3 linked regions of the Rattus norvegicus genome follow. The protein of the gene in region 2 interacts with the protein of the main gene of each other region in a pairwise test. Links are inferred from orthologs where the notes say so. Each region holds a gene or a part of one and is shown on either strand. Other genes may lie near its edges. The genes, in order: C7h8orf33, Git1 and Rgs2.

Region 1 (4,437 bases), on a different chromosome or scaffold from region 2:
ATTGCCAGAGTTAGTATTGAGGCCAAGCAGAGCATAGAGTAAGAGGCTGAGAGAGAGAAGCCAGATTGAATCACTCAGCATGGAGAGGAGTTGGAGTCAGAACAGTTGAGTTGAACCAGCCAGCCAGAGCTAAGAAAAGAGCTAGAAAGGGTGATCTTATTCAGCAGTAAGTCTCAGAAACTGAAAACATTCCAGGCCTAGATAAGATGGTACCCAGGCTAGAAGCTTCCAGGACTAGGCCTAGGCTAGCAGAAGAAGGCAGTGAGCCTCTGAAGACAATTACATCAGGGGAATAAAAGACACTTTTATACATGTGTGCCCAGCACGCTAATACCCGCCCACTTACACACCATTCACACACACAAACAAAGGGTTTTGCTTTGTTTTGTTTTAAATGCGGTCTGCTAAGACTCAGTTCAGGTTAGGACAAGTAGCTCCTTGGCTCCTAAAAACAAAACACAGCTGGATGGTGGCCACACTGGCTCCTTGAAGATGATGACCTGCTCAGAAAAACAGCAACAGCAACAGCAACAACAGATGAGGCCCTGGCATCAGAGCTGGACCAAGCAGTCCCAGCCCCTGTCTCACTTTGCTTCCAATAACACAGACAGCTCTCTTCCACCCACCATCCTATTTCTTTAAAAAAAGATTTATTAAGGCAATATAACAATATGTAAAGCACTGAAAACTGGCCAGGGCGCCCTTTCGAAAGTGAGCCCAGTGTGTCGAGAGCTTCTCCACAGTTCCTTATCACCAGCAGCTACTCCACATCTCTCTTCTGTCAGGAAGAACATTTCTTTCAAAAGTTCTCACGTGGCAGCTTCACACCGGCCAGCAGCTTCATGTCCTGAGGGACAAACCAATCCCACTTCTGCTGAGAGGATTCCTGGAAAGGCCCTGCACTCAAGACAAATCCCCCTCACCACCCCGGAGGGGATGACTAGTCCAGCATGTAGGAGCCTCTAAAAGAAATTGAACCGGAACTCTTCGTTGGTCAAGTCGGACATGGTTCCGGCTCTTCCTGCAGGACGAGGCCTGCAGACCCTTCCACTCTTCTTTCTGGCGGCCTCGCCAACCAGCTGTACCTGGGCCGAGCGGGTGGCTGTAGGAAGGGGGAGTGGAGAGTCAGCTAACGTGATCTGTGCAGTTACAACTCTCCTAACTTCTCAGTACTAAAAGTAAATAATGCCTTCTCTGATGAGACTCACAGAGATGCAGTAACTTACCAAAAACGTTTAAATCTAAATAACGTATCCAGGATTTATGCCAAAGTTATTTATTGTTTCAGGAGCTAAAGTCCAACTGGGATCTAGCTTTATAGCCAGTGAAGTGAGCCCAGGCCAAGACAGATGAGTGGTTTTTCCCATCTCCAAAACAGACTGAGGTGAGGACCTCGGCCCTCCTCCTTCCGGGACCTCTGTCCCCAAATAGGTATATACTTTTCTCCATGCTTACAATTCCCCCCCCCCCCAAGCCCATCTCTTCCCCACTAACCCAGCTGAGCTGAGCCACTCCCTTGAAGTTAATGTACTGAACCAATCACTTTCTAGTTCCTCACCAGCCTTTAAAGCCCGTAGGGCCTCCCGCCACTCTGCATCCATCTGAGCCCTGTAGTCCCCAAACAAGGAGCGCATCAGCTGTCTCTTCCGGGGCAAGGGGGTTTTTTCACTCCGCAACGTTCGGATTGCCCCAACAGCCTGCTCTTCTGCAGATTAAAAAAAAAAAAAAATTAAAGCGCTAGTAACTTCAAACACACTCCATATCATCCTACTACAAAGGCAACAATTCCCATTCGACTGAGGTGACACATGCCTTTAATCCCAGGAGGCAAAGGCAAGCGGATCTGTACAATGAGACCGTCTCGCGGGGGGAAAACAAACAAACAAAAAAAAAAAACAAAAAAACAACCAAAACAACGTAAACAAACAAAAAGCAACAATCCCAGCCCTTGGCAACACCACCAGGCCACAGCACTGTCATGGTTTACATTTCCTTAACTATAAAGTAGGGTCCCTCACTCTGTTTCGGGGTGGGTCTCTGCGTCCTGAGACCCAGCTCCAGCTGTTCCACACACCAGGCCAGCTCCCGCGCCAGCTGCTCCGCCTGTGGTAGAAAGGAGGACATGGCAGGCAATAGGATCCCGCAGACTCCACTCCCATACCTTCAGCGCCTTAATTCCGCACACCTAGCCCACACAGGTAGGCGGGTTAGCATCCAGAAAGCTCACAGGGAGTCCCATCCTTGCCTGGGCCTCAGCACTAGGGGGAGCTTCATCTGGAGTAGGATTCTCGGAGGGCTTTTCCTTTCCATTTGTCCCAGAGACCCTGTTCGGGGTTTTCTTTTTCTTTTGCTTCATCGATACTGTGTTGCCTACGGGATGTGTCCTGTTGGCGGAGTCACATGTAGGTTGCACTGAATTACGAAGAGGAGGATCCGAGGCACCGGAAGCTGGGCGAGAGAGCTGAGGTCTGCGCGGAGCGCGATTAGTTCTCCGGCTTGAGGCTGCTGGTGCCTCCCGAGCAGGATGCCCTGGCTCCTGAAAAACGTGGGACAGGACGAAATTCACAGGGTCTCCCCACCTAGGGCCTCGCCACAAACACACCTCGCACAGCTTACCGCCATTAGCTGGAGAGGTCACCGGAAGCTAGTAAATCCTAAAAATCCCATAGCGAACTCACTCCCCTGGAAACAGGTCTACGACACAAGGTTCCGCAGAAAGTACAGCGGACCCAGAGCCAATGCTCACCGCGGGACGGAGCGCTCCAGGTTGTGCTTGTAATTTGGGTTGACAGAGTGCACAGGAACTTAACTTAAGGCCTCGGAAAACCCAGCAGAGTGCGCCGCCAAAAAACAAGACGATCCCTGGGGAGAATGGAACCCGCGGGGTGGAGGGGAACGCCCAGAGGTGGGGCAAGGTGGACATGCAGGGCGGTTCGGGGCGGGGCACACATAAAGCCAGATGGTTCAGCTGGTTTCCAGTATACATCACAATCCTGAAGAACTAGGCTCTAATAGCAATGAAGGAGTGAACTTGCCAGCGAGAGTAGGAGTAAGCATGCAAAGAGCAAGAACGTCCTTCTTCCACGACCTTTATATAGGCTGCCACCCGAAGACGTGGCCCAGATTTAAGGTGCATCTTCCCACCTCAAGAAAAACTCTCTTACAGGTGTACCCAGTCCCGTGGGTTTTAGGATAATTCCAGACGTTTGTTTTCAAGTTGACAACCAAGAATAGCAATAGCTATCATAGCGGTCTAACCGTGGGACTGCAGATACCAGACACGGAGCTTCAGGGTTTGGTATTTTGTATCTCTTCGCTATGCCTCTATTCCACAGTTTTGGAATGCCAGCGTACATACTGTGCCCTTGTACGTCGGAAGTATATAATTTTACTTTTGACTTTACCGGGGTCTATAGTTAAGAGATTACCTTGGGACTTTTTAAACAATGTTGAAACTGAAAAAGATGATGGGAACTTTTACAGTTAGATTAAATGCATTTTTACTTTACGATATGGCCATAAAACACTCTGGCCAAGGCAACTTAGAAAAATAGTTTGATTAGGGGACAAATTTGTCCAGGGGGACAAAATTTATGATGATGGAAGGAAAGCATGGCAGAGGAGGACTGGAACAGCAGCTGAGAGCTCACATCTCGATCCAAAAGCAGGAGGAAGCGAACACCATGGGCATGGTAAGAGGCTTTGAAAACCTTAAACCCAGCCCTCAGTAACACACCTCCTCCAACAAGAACACACCTCCTAATCCTTCCCAAACAGCCAACAACTGGGGACCAAGGATTCAAACTCCAGAGATTTATAGAAGACATCTCATTTAAAACACTACAGGAGTCAGGGAATGGAATGTGGGTGTTTGAGAATTCCACCAAAGGCAAATGAATACTCGGTCCCTGCTGGTGGTCCTGTTTGGGACGATTACGGGGTGGCACCATCTCACTAGTGGAAGTTCCTGAAGGTATGAAGTAGGAAGAGTTCATAGCCTCAAGGAGGTGGTGCACACCTTTAATCCCAGCACTGGGATCGCTGTGAGTTCCAGGTCAGCCAGGTCTAGAGAGTGAGTTCTAGGACACCAGACACCTCACTTCAGGTTTGGATTCTGCTTACATTTACAGCTGAAGATGTGATCTCTCAGTTTCCTACTCCTCGTGCCATTCCTGGCAGTTGCTGCTATGCCTCCACACCATAATGGACCGGAACCATAAACACAAATTAACTTTGCTTCCAAGAGTTGCTTTTGATCAGGGTGTTTCATCACAGCCAACAGAAAAGTAACTAACACAGTGACACCAGAGTACGGATATGAGAAAACATGTAAAGCCACACACCTGAAATGCCTATAACAAGCTGTATGCCAGTTAGACCCCTGTTGTATTAAGGTGTGCCTCTGTATTTCCAGTTGTGAATTCTGTACAGGCAGAG
Region 2 (4,337 bases):
AAGCAGGACCCTGCCATCCGCCTATTTGTAGCTAAAACACCCAGCCCCACATCAGCAGTGTGGCAGCCCAGGTCAGCAAAGGCACCCAAGGGAGCCCTTAGGAGGCTGAAGTACCCACCAGTACTAGAGAATAGCTTCATGCCATTCCTAGTCAGATCCTGAGGGAGGCCTCAGGAGAGCCTGCCTGGGTGCCAGCTTGTCTCTGGCAGGAAGGGCAGGGCTCTCAGAGAGGAAACCATCCAGGCCTCCTGCCTATCCCTCCTCACCTGATTCCGAGTGGCTGAGTATTCAGGGTTGACTGGCAGGAAGGGCACAGCACTGCGTTCTGTCACCAGGGTGCTATGATTCTGGGTAGCTAGCCACACTGTGGGGGAAGGGCAGGGAGCAGATCACCCACTGTGAATGCACCCTCAGAGAAGAGGGGGAGGAGCACTGAGCAGAGCCCCCCAGGCCCTCCTCTATTCAGACTGGGCCAGTGTGGCAGGAAGCAGGGTCTCCACCAACACAAACTCTGGGCCAGGCCCAGTGAGGCCCGCCCACTGACAACACAACAAGGCAGGGCCCACCAGGCCAGACCCAGAGTTTGGGTTGGAATCTGGCTGTGGCCAGGGAGGAGTGATGCAGGGTAGGGGTGGAGCATGGCTGAGGAGACAGCCAGAGTGGGAGGCAGCCAGAGCAAGATGAGCCCCAGTGCCTGGTGGGTAGAGAGGCGGCTGGCTGCTGACAGCTTAGCGCTGCCCAAGGGTGTATGGGGGAGGGGGTCGTGTGTGACAGGGACTCCAGTGGCCTCTGAGCAGCACCCCCTTCCCTGGTTCACTGGGTCCTGGCTCTTTGTGGCAGGTCCCTTCTCCCTCACCTGCATCATTTTCTCTCCGGTCCACTTCGTCATACACATCCATGGCGAGCTCCTCAAAGAGCCGGTTGCTGAGCTAGAGGCAGAGAGGGGGCCCAGGGTCTGTCAGGAGGCTGTGTGATGTGGGAAGTTTCATGACCCCGCTGTCACCCAGCCTGTCCTAGAACTGAGGGGTGGGTGAGGTTCTATGTGCAAGGAAGAGTCCAGGTTACTTCCTCCTCCCAGAGGCGAGGCTCTGGACACACACTTGGAGGGCAGAACCAGGATCAAGACAAGGGCATGGGGAGGTGACTGGAGGGAGGAGCCTGGCAAGGCTGGAGAGGGCTGCTCTAAGAAGTCCTAGCTTGTTGAGGCAGACTCACTGCTTGTAGCTTCTTCTTGGCAGCTTTGGCCAATTCAGACAGATCCAAACTGTGGACAAAGGAGGGAGGAGAGAGGCCAGACATGAGGGACGGTCTGGGCCCTGCTGGTTACCTCCCAAGCATGCAGGGAACTCAGGGAGATGAGACCCCGAGGTCACACACCAACCCCCCCCCCCAACACCCAAACTTCACAGCCTGCAGCCAACAGGTGTGGGTACCTCTGAGACATGCACTTTTGCCGAGATCTAATCCAGGAAGGCAGCAAAGGGAAGAACAGGACAGAGCAGCAATTACCCAGGGGCAGGCGGCTCTTGCCTTCCCATGTCAAGCTCAGACACATCTCCACACACACCCAAAACAGAACACGCAAGAGACTTTGCCTCCCCAGCTTGTTTCTCTGTCCACTCTCAGCTACAAGAAGCCATCCCCCATTTCCTTCTTCCTCAGACCCTAGCCTCGCCTCCCACTTCTGCCCTGTTTCCTCTGGTCTGGGCTTTTAGACTTCTAGGCTTGTCTTTAAAATCCTTTTCTCATCCAGCGGCAGAGTGCCTACATGTCTGGCCACACGCTCTGTCTTAAAACAGTTCAATAGTAATGTGTACATCAAATATAAATATAGTTCAACCATACTTCTTCACAATGCTTTCTTTAAAAAATGCTAAGTACTTTGTATTTTTTGTATTAATTATTCTCAATATTCCCAAAAGGGTAAGTATTAGCATTGAGATGACCAAGGCTCAGGCTAGGCAACCTGCTTCAAGTCATACAGTAACTTACTGCCACATATCCATTCCAGCCATGCTTGAACTCCGTCAGGATGGCTGTGCCCTTGCTGGGATTCCCCACGAGGTTCATGCTCACCTGGCTCTCCCAGTCTCATTCCCTCACATTGTGCTGTAGTACACAAGTTGCTTGCAGTTCCTACCTCTGCACCCTAGCACCTCTTGCTGATGTCCTGCCTGTTTAGTTGTAGCTCAGGGCAAGGTGGCGTCTGCATTACCTTGGTGTCTCTAGAGCAGCAGCTGGCTCTGAGGAGGTGCTAAGTTACAACCACTGACTCTACGTCCCTGTGTGTGTGTTGACTCTGCACGCGCGCACTCACACACACACACACACACACTCACACACACACACACCCACCCCTAGGCAGATCAGATTAGAGAAGAAGAACTGAGTCTCAGGGTCTTGGAACAGGGGAGTTCTGGGTTTAGGAATCTGAGCTGCACAGCCTGACCCATCTGCCTGCACAGGCTATGATGGAAAACCTCTCCTAATGCCAGGGGGTGCTGCCTGGCATCAAGTTGTAGTCCCCTGAGGACCACTAGGTGGCGCCAGCGCATTCTTGTCCTGTAAACTGAGTAAGTGACTGGGGATATCCTCCACTGCTGAGTTATCTTGGGGCTGCTATGATCAGAGGCAAAAATTCACCATTATTCCCCTGCACACTGCACAATGGAGGTCTGGCCAGTATTTCCAAAGTCAACAAATTCCCTGTAGTTATCTTCTCCCTACAGAGGGAATTACTTCATTCAAAGCCTACATGGCAGGTAGTACACAATGGCCGAACCTAGTTAGGTCTTTCCTTGTACCTAAACCCTCCAGATAATAATCACAAGGTTCACGCGGACTGTTGGATGTTGAACTGACACTTCTCGCCTGCCTTGAGGTCTACAGTAATAGGGACTAGGCTACAAATTCTGTGTTGCTAGTCAGTGCAGGAATAGGGTGGGAGGGCAGGCCTCTGAAGCCTGGAAAGGGGCAGGGCTCTGGGTCAAGTCACCTTGACATCTAATAGCTGGAAAGGGCATCAGGTGGGCACTCACCTGTCAGCCATCTGTGGGATGATGTAATGCCCATTCTTGTGATCTGAACAAAAATAAAAATGCCAAGTCACTGATAGCAGGTGGCACCAGCATCCAGGAGCCCGCTTCCCACCATGAGCAGGGTGTGACACTTGAAAGTATCAAAGGGAATGGAGGTGGGCAGGACACCCCAAGAGCATTGGAAGCTGGCTGCAAGTCAGGCCCACCCCCACTCCTTGGCCCCAACATACTTGCAGCAACCCAGAGCCTGCAGCAATTTCACAGGAGCCAGTTGCCTAGCAACACAGTTCCCCAGCTGGCTTTGTCACTATGGCACCTGCTGCTGGGTGTGTCTGGTCCCACCTGCCCGGGCCTAGTCAGGCCCATTCTCTGCTCACCAGGCTTCCGTCCACAGAGGTAGAAGGCCAACCGGTCAGTGAGCTCATACTGGCACTCAACTAGCCTTTCTGCCAGTTCATGGTGCCCCGCCTGCCTGTGGGGAGGGGACATGGCTCAGCCACACAGCAGCAGTCACTCCCTTCCACCTAAGCCTCATCCTTTAGCTGATTCTCACCTGGCATAGTCAATGGGTGTGCGGCCATTGACATCAGGGGAGCCTGGGTCAGCCCCATACACTACTAGCAGCTCAGCCTGCAGTGTCTGCCCTGCCTTGGCAGCCACGTGTAGAGGTGTAGTGCCCTTTTCTGGGTGGAAGAAGTTGGCCTGGGCACCCAGGGAAAGCAGGCGCAGACAGGTCTCCAGGTTGCCTGTTCGCACACTCGAGTGCAGTTGCTGCGAGGAGCAGAGTGTGCAGTGAGTGTGACAGACACACGTGTACCCAAGAACCCCCCACCTGGCTGCTCCTCGCACACCTGCCAGCTCCAAGGGGCCTTGCCAAACCTGGGCCCAGAGGGCTTCCCACTAGAGGACAATGCCAATTAATAATAGCAGCTGCCAGTCACTACCCTCCATGTCTTTGCTTGGAGCAGACACTAGCCAGAGGTAGGTCCTGTTACTACATTCCCATTTTACAGGTGAGGAAATGAAGGTCTGGATAGCTAAGCAAGGACTCCAGGGTTTCCTATCTTTCAAGTGGCAGATGGGAGGCCTTGTGCATCCACTTGGGAGTGGAGGCCTCTTAGCCATCAGCAGTCTGACAGAGCTCCAGAGAGTCTGCACTTACTGTTTTCCCTGACCTTATGCTGCCTCTGGGACCTATGCCTCAGGGTGTCATGGGTGTGGAAAGAGGGACCCCTCACACCTTGCTGAGGTCTTTGGCGGTGACCCCATCATCATCACGGCAGGGAAGCTTGTGCACAA
Region 3 (4,437 bases), on a different chromosome or scaffold from region 2:
TCGGTGGGGGTCTCCCTGTCTCATGTAGCATGGGGCTCCGTGGTGATCTGTGGCTTTTTACACAAGTCCTGATAAAATTCTGATTCCAAGAAACGAGGATAAGAGTTGTTCTCCATCAGGCTGTACACCCTCTTCTGCGCTGTGGTGAAGCAGCCACTTGTAGCCTCTTGGATATTTTGGGCAATCAGAGTTTTTGTTTGAAAGTCTATGTTTATCTGAAAGAACAAAAGAAAACTCCATTTATTTGCTATTCAATGGTACAGACCGATGCTTAATAATAAAACATGAAGGTATAGTTTGTGATCAGTTATAACTGTCAGTTTTGGGAGAAACTTAAATGTTAGGAGAGCTGGGGTGAGAGCCATACACGGCTCCTCTCCCGTGAGTATGAACGCAGTGTATTCAAGTCTCGTGTTTCCCTTCAGTATTGAAGACGATCTGAGGAACCTGCTTTCTTACCTCTTTGGGAGCTTCCTTCTCGATGAAGTCGGTGTATATTTTCCTTGCTTTTGAGGACAGTTTCTGTGGTGATTTGGTTTTCTTGAAGTCTTCGCAAGCCAACCAGAATTCAATATTTTCTTCACAGAACTCGGACTTTAAAAACGCTCTGAATGCAGCAAGCCCATCTGGAAGCACAAGGAGACGCGGTATGAAGAATATGAATGGAATGGCCGAATTACACACAGCTCTCCTAGTACAAAATGATCAGTTTCCTAGACTTCATTCAAGCCTGTCATTCTGGAAGTCTAGCTCTTTAAGCACTAAGATGCCAGTAAGCAAAACGCTTAAGTTTGTAGTCTGCAACAAAAAGTATACTTAACTTCCCTGTCAATGCCAAGACCAGTATTTACAGGACGACTCTAAGTCCACTAGGAACTAGGGCTTTTGAAAATATTCTATGTAATGGAAAAGCTGACTCAATCAGCTATGAGTAACTGGCATCTTAATTTTTAGGCTAATTTTTCTTCCCCACCTGAGTTGAATACCTCTTGCTTCCCTATGATTAAACTTAGTGATATAAGGGAAAGAGAAACAGGCTTTGTACTGTCGGTGGTGGTAATGTCTAATGCATTTCTTGCAAACTGCTCATTTTGTGGTGCGAAGGGAACATTTCTAGGCTTTTGAGATACCGGCAAGAGATCACATTCAAGAGGTTAACTTACATTTGCTGGCCAGCAGTTCATCAAATGCTTCTGCCCAGAGCAGCGCTTCCTCAGGAGAAGGCCTGCAAGAGAAGTTCCACACATGAGCTTCACCACACATGACAGCTCCCCTTTCCTGTCCACTGGTTTGACCAGATACTCATCTCTGTAACTACAGGATTTGAAACTCACTTGATAAAAGTTTGCTGTTTGCTTTTCTTGCCAGTTTTGGGCTTCCCAGGAGTAGAGGAGTTTTGCAAGAAATAGCTCAAACGGGTCTTCCAATCTTTTAAGCTGGAAGAAAAAAGAAAGAAAGAAAATATACTTCAAGTAGCAATTCTTGAATGGTAAAATTATCATCAGTTGCAGTAGCTACAGACAAAGCAGACAATGAGTCTCATTCCCTTAGCATTTAAACCCAGCACCTCCTGGCTTTTCTCCATTAGTCTGACTATAATGAGCTTCACAAGCAGGATAGAACTAGGTAAGACCTAAGGCAGTTTACATTTTCACCAGCTATTTCTGACCTAATAAACAGATAGAGGTTTTTCTGTGTGGTTGACTACAACTTGCTGACATTTTGTGATTGAGAACAGCTGCTGTTTTTTCCCTTTCTGCACCGGAGGCAGGAGGGTCTGGACTATGCCAGAGACAATGCATAGGGGTGTGTGTGTGTGTGTGTGTGTGTGTGTGTGTGTGTGTGTGTGTGTGTGTTGGAGGGTCTGGACTATGCCAGAGACAATGCATAGGTGTGTGTGTGTGTGTGTGTGTGTGTTGGATTCCCTAGCTCCCTTCTCAGGCCGCCCACAGTGCTTCTCTGCAGCAGATACTGCAGAGCGAATTACTCATTCCATAGTCGTGACTGGGTGAGACCTACTTTATGATTTAAAAACGGATCGCATACATTGAGAATCAATTCAAACATCCCCACCCAGCAGCTATGCAAGCAGCTCAGAACTAACAATGCAACGACTAGGCGCCGGTGGACTTCATTCCGCTGCAGGAGTCTGATGCTACATTAAATGCAGAACAAAAAAAAAAAAAAAAAAAAAAAAAGCCAACCAGCGCCTTCTCAGCCCATCTACCGCCACCTTCTTCGACCATTTCCTACAGTTCTTAAACTCTCTGAGCTCACATAGAAAAAGCACATACCACCAGATCTAGCAAGCTAACTTTTTCTCTCCCCCACAAGCCCCCAACTCTCCCACACTTTCTTTGCAGAGGCGCAGTCTAGAGTATTCCTAGCCGAGATCGAGAGAAGGTCGGTCCCTAGCAGCAAAGCCAGGCAGGGTAGGAACTCTTAGGAAGAGAGGGCATACTCACAGTGTCCGCTTCATTTTCTCCCGCTTCTCCTCGACCTTGGGGCCGTTGCCTGCGCTCTTGTCCATGGGTACGCAGTCGTGCTGGACAGCCAGGAACATGGCACTTTGCATTCTCAGACACCCGCGGCCACCGCAGCTGTTTGCCGCCCGGAGCGCGGCGCGAGCTTTTAAGGCGGGCGGCGGCGCAGGGGCGGGACTTGGAGGCGTCGGCCACACCTCTAGAGGGCGCGGATTGGCCCACTGCAGACGGCACGAGGGCGGGGTCACGCGGGCCTGCGGCAGTCACGGCAGCCGCCGAAGGGTCTGGAAGTGAGGGCGCTGTTGACGTAGGCGCCGCATCCTCGTGCGCACACAGGGTGGGAGGTGGCGGGCGGGGACAGAGAGCGATCGCTGTTAGGCAGCTCAGGCGGCCACAGCCGTGAAGGGTCCTGAATTTGTGGCTTTTTCTTGAGTGAAGACCGTAGTGTGTGTGTGTGCGCGCGCGCGCGCGTGTGGTTTGTGGTGTGTGCCCCCCACCTTTGCAACTTGTCTTTTGTTCATCCGGACACCTATAAACTGAAGCCGGGATGGGGAGAGTCCTGCTGACTGCACTCGGCCACTCCACCTGTTTTGGAGAAGGAAATCAACAACAAGAGAACCCTGAAACACAGGCTACTGAACTAGGTGCTGTGACTCTGTAGCTCTCTGAGGCACCTTGGATTTCCTTAAGGGAATACAGGCTGCTCAGGGAGGAAGCAGGAGAAAGTGTTTCTTAAAACCTGGTGTTTTAAATGGTTCTGCAGTCTTGATCTTTAAATGCATGGTTGCAGCAGGCTGTGACGTTGCAAGGTCGTTCCCCAGGAGACCCGATGGGCATCTCCCTGATGGGCATCTCCCTCCGGGCATAGCATAGATCTGAGTGATAAGTGAGAAATACAAAGGGAAACCCAAGATTCCCAGTTCGGCTGCACCCGGATCATTTGTAGTTTCAGGGTGTAAGGAATCAGGATTTCCTCATGAGTCATTCTCAGTTGAACAGGCTTAGGATTTACCAGATGTTCAATTGCTTAAATTAAGGTTGGGGGCTAGAGCTAGATGTGAGAGCCCGTAGGTGTAATCTGTTTGGACAAGCTTCATTTGCGATATCCTCAGAATCAGGTCTTTGCTCCTGCAGGGTTTAATATGCCCTGATTTGTAAGAACCAATACGTGACTTCAACTACAAACTGATTCAGCTTCCTATGTTACCAGAATGATGCGGTGCAATACCTAAGTGGTTTTCCCATAAAGTCTCAACAGATAGACTAACAAAAAGGTACAGCTTAGGCTCCAGTTATTCTGTTTCATACTAGACCCACTAAAAGGAAAATGAAGACCCTCAAACTGGGATCCAAGCAACACATTGTTACAAGCTGTGCATGGTTGAGCTCCAGGTTTGAGTCAGAAACTAAAGTCTGCAGTCGCTAATGAAGAAAATTGCTACAGCCTTTATTATAGAAGGAATATCATTTTGATTTTAGTAACAAATACTTGAAAGCACGCTTATGAATGGCTAAGATGGGATTTTTAATAAGCCCAACAGAACTGCACTGTTCCTACATTTGTTTCAATGTCTGACGATTTAATACATATTTATTAAGCATGCAAAATGGAAACAGTGTTGCTGTTTAAAAATATGTGTAATGTGTGGGCATATTTGATTTTTTCCAATAATACAAACCAGGAATATATTTTTCACTTAACAAACCTGGGCATTAAAATCATCAACATTTATGTTTCTGTGTAGCTCAGATGACCCTTGACACTTGTGGCTGTCGGCAGGTGTAATCAGAGCCAGTGTTTAGCCAGTAGTTGCTAAGTGGCTATTGGGGCAGTCAGTCACTTTCCCCCTGCCTGATCCCTAGCTCTCAAGACTAATAACATCAGTAGGATTTTTTTTTTAACCAGTCTTAAAAGATACTATGCAAATCCTGCATTTAAGACATTTTGTAATGT

Evidence for each region.
Region 1: the proteins of Git1 (region 2) and C7h8orf33 interact in a two-hybrid assay, tested with the Homo sapiens proteins (2 studies listed by BioGRID and IntAct). The link is inferred for Rattus norvegicus from reciprocal best matches to the Homo sapiens genes GIT1 and C8orf33.
Region 3: the proteins of Git1 (region 2) and Rgs2 interact in a two-hybrid assay, tested with the Homo sapiens proteins (2 studies listed by BioGRID and IntAct). The link is inferred for Rattus norvegicus from reciprocal best matches to the Homo sapiens genes GIT1 and RGS2.

What each region holds. Positions count from the first base shown.
Region 1 is NC_086025.1:110,561,177-110,565,613, reverse strand, and holds C7h8orf33 (hypothetical protein LOC681282), read right to left. Parts: upstream 2,880-4,437; 5' UTR 2,623-2,879; coding exon 2,617-2,622; intron 2,537-2,616; coding exon 2,246-2,536; intron 2,104-2,245; coding exon 2,019-2,103; intron 1,706-2,018; coding exon 1,559-1,705; intron 1,103-1,558; coding exon 963-1,102; 3' UTR 629-962; downstream 1-628.
Region 2 is NC_086028.1:62,846,554-62,850,890, reverse strand, and holds part of Git1 (ARF GTPase-activating protein GIT1), read right to left. Parts: coding exon 4,279-4,337; intron 3,810-4,278; coding exon 3,592-3,809; intron 3,511-3,591; coding exon 3,416-3,510; intron 3,082-3,415; coding exon 3,039-3,081; intron 1,461-3,038; coding exon 1,434-1,460; intron 1,265-1,433; coding exon 1,216-1,264; intron 930-1,215; coding exon 857-929; intron 365-856; coding exon 267-364; intron 1-266. UniProt on the Homo sapiens protein: GTPase-activating protein for ADP ribosylation factor family members, including ARF1.
Region 3 is NC_086031.1:58,350,092-58,354,528, forward strand, and holds the start of Rgs2 (regulator of G-protein signaling 2), read right to left. Parts: upstream 2,576-4,437; coding exon 2,466-2,575; intron 1,437-2,465; coding exon 1,335-1,436; intron 1,226-1,334; coding exon 1,164-1,225; intron 627-1,163; coding exon 460-626; intron 216-459; coding exon 21-215; 3' UTR 1-20. UniProt on the Homo sapiens protein: Regulates G protein-coupled receptor signaling cascades. Inhibits signal transduction by increasing the GTPase activity of G protein alpha subunits, thereby driving them into their inactive GDP-bound form.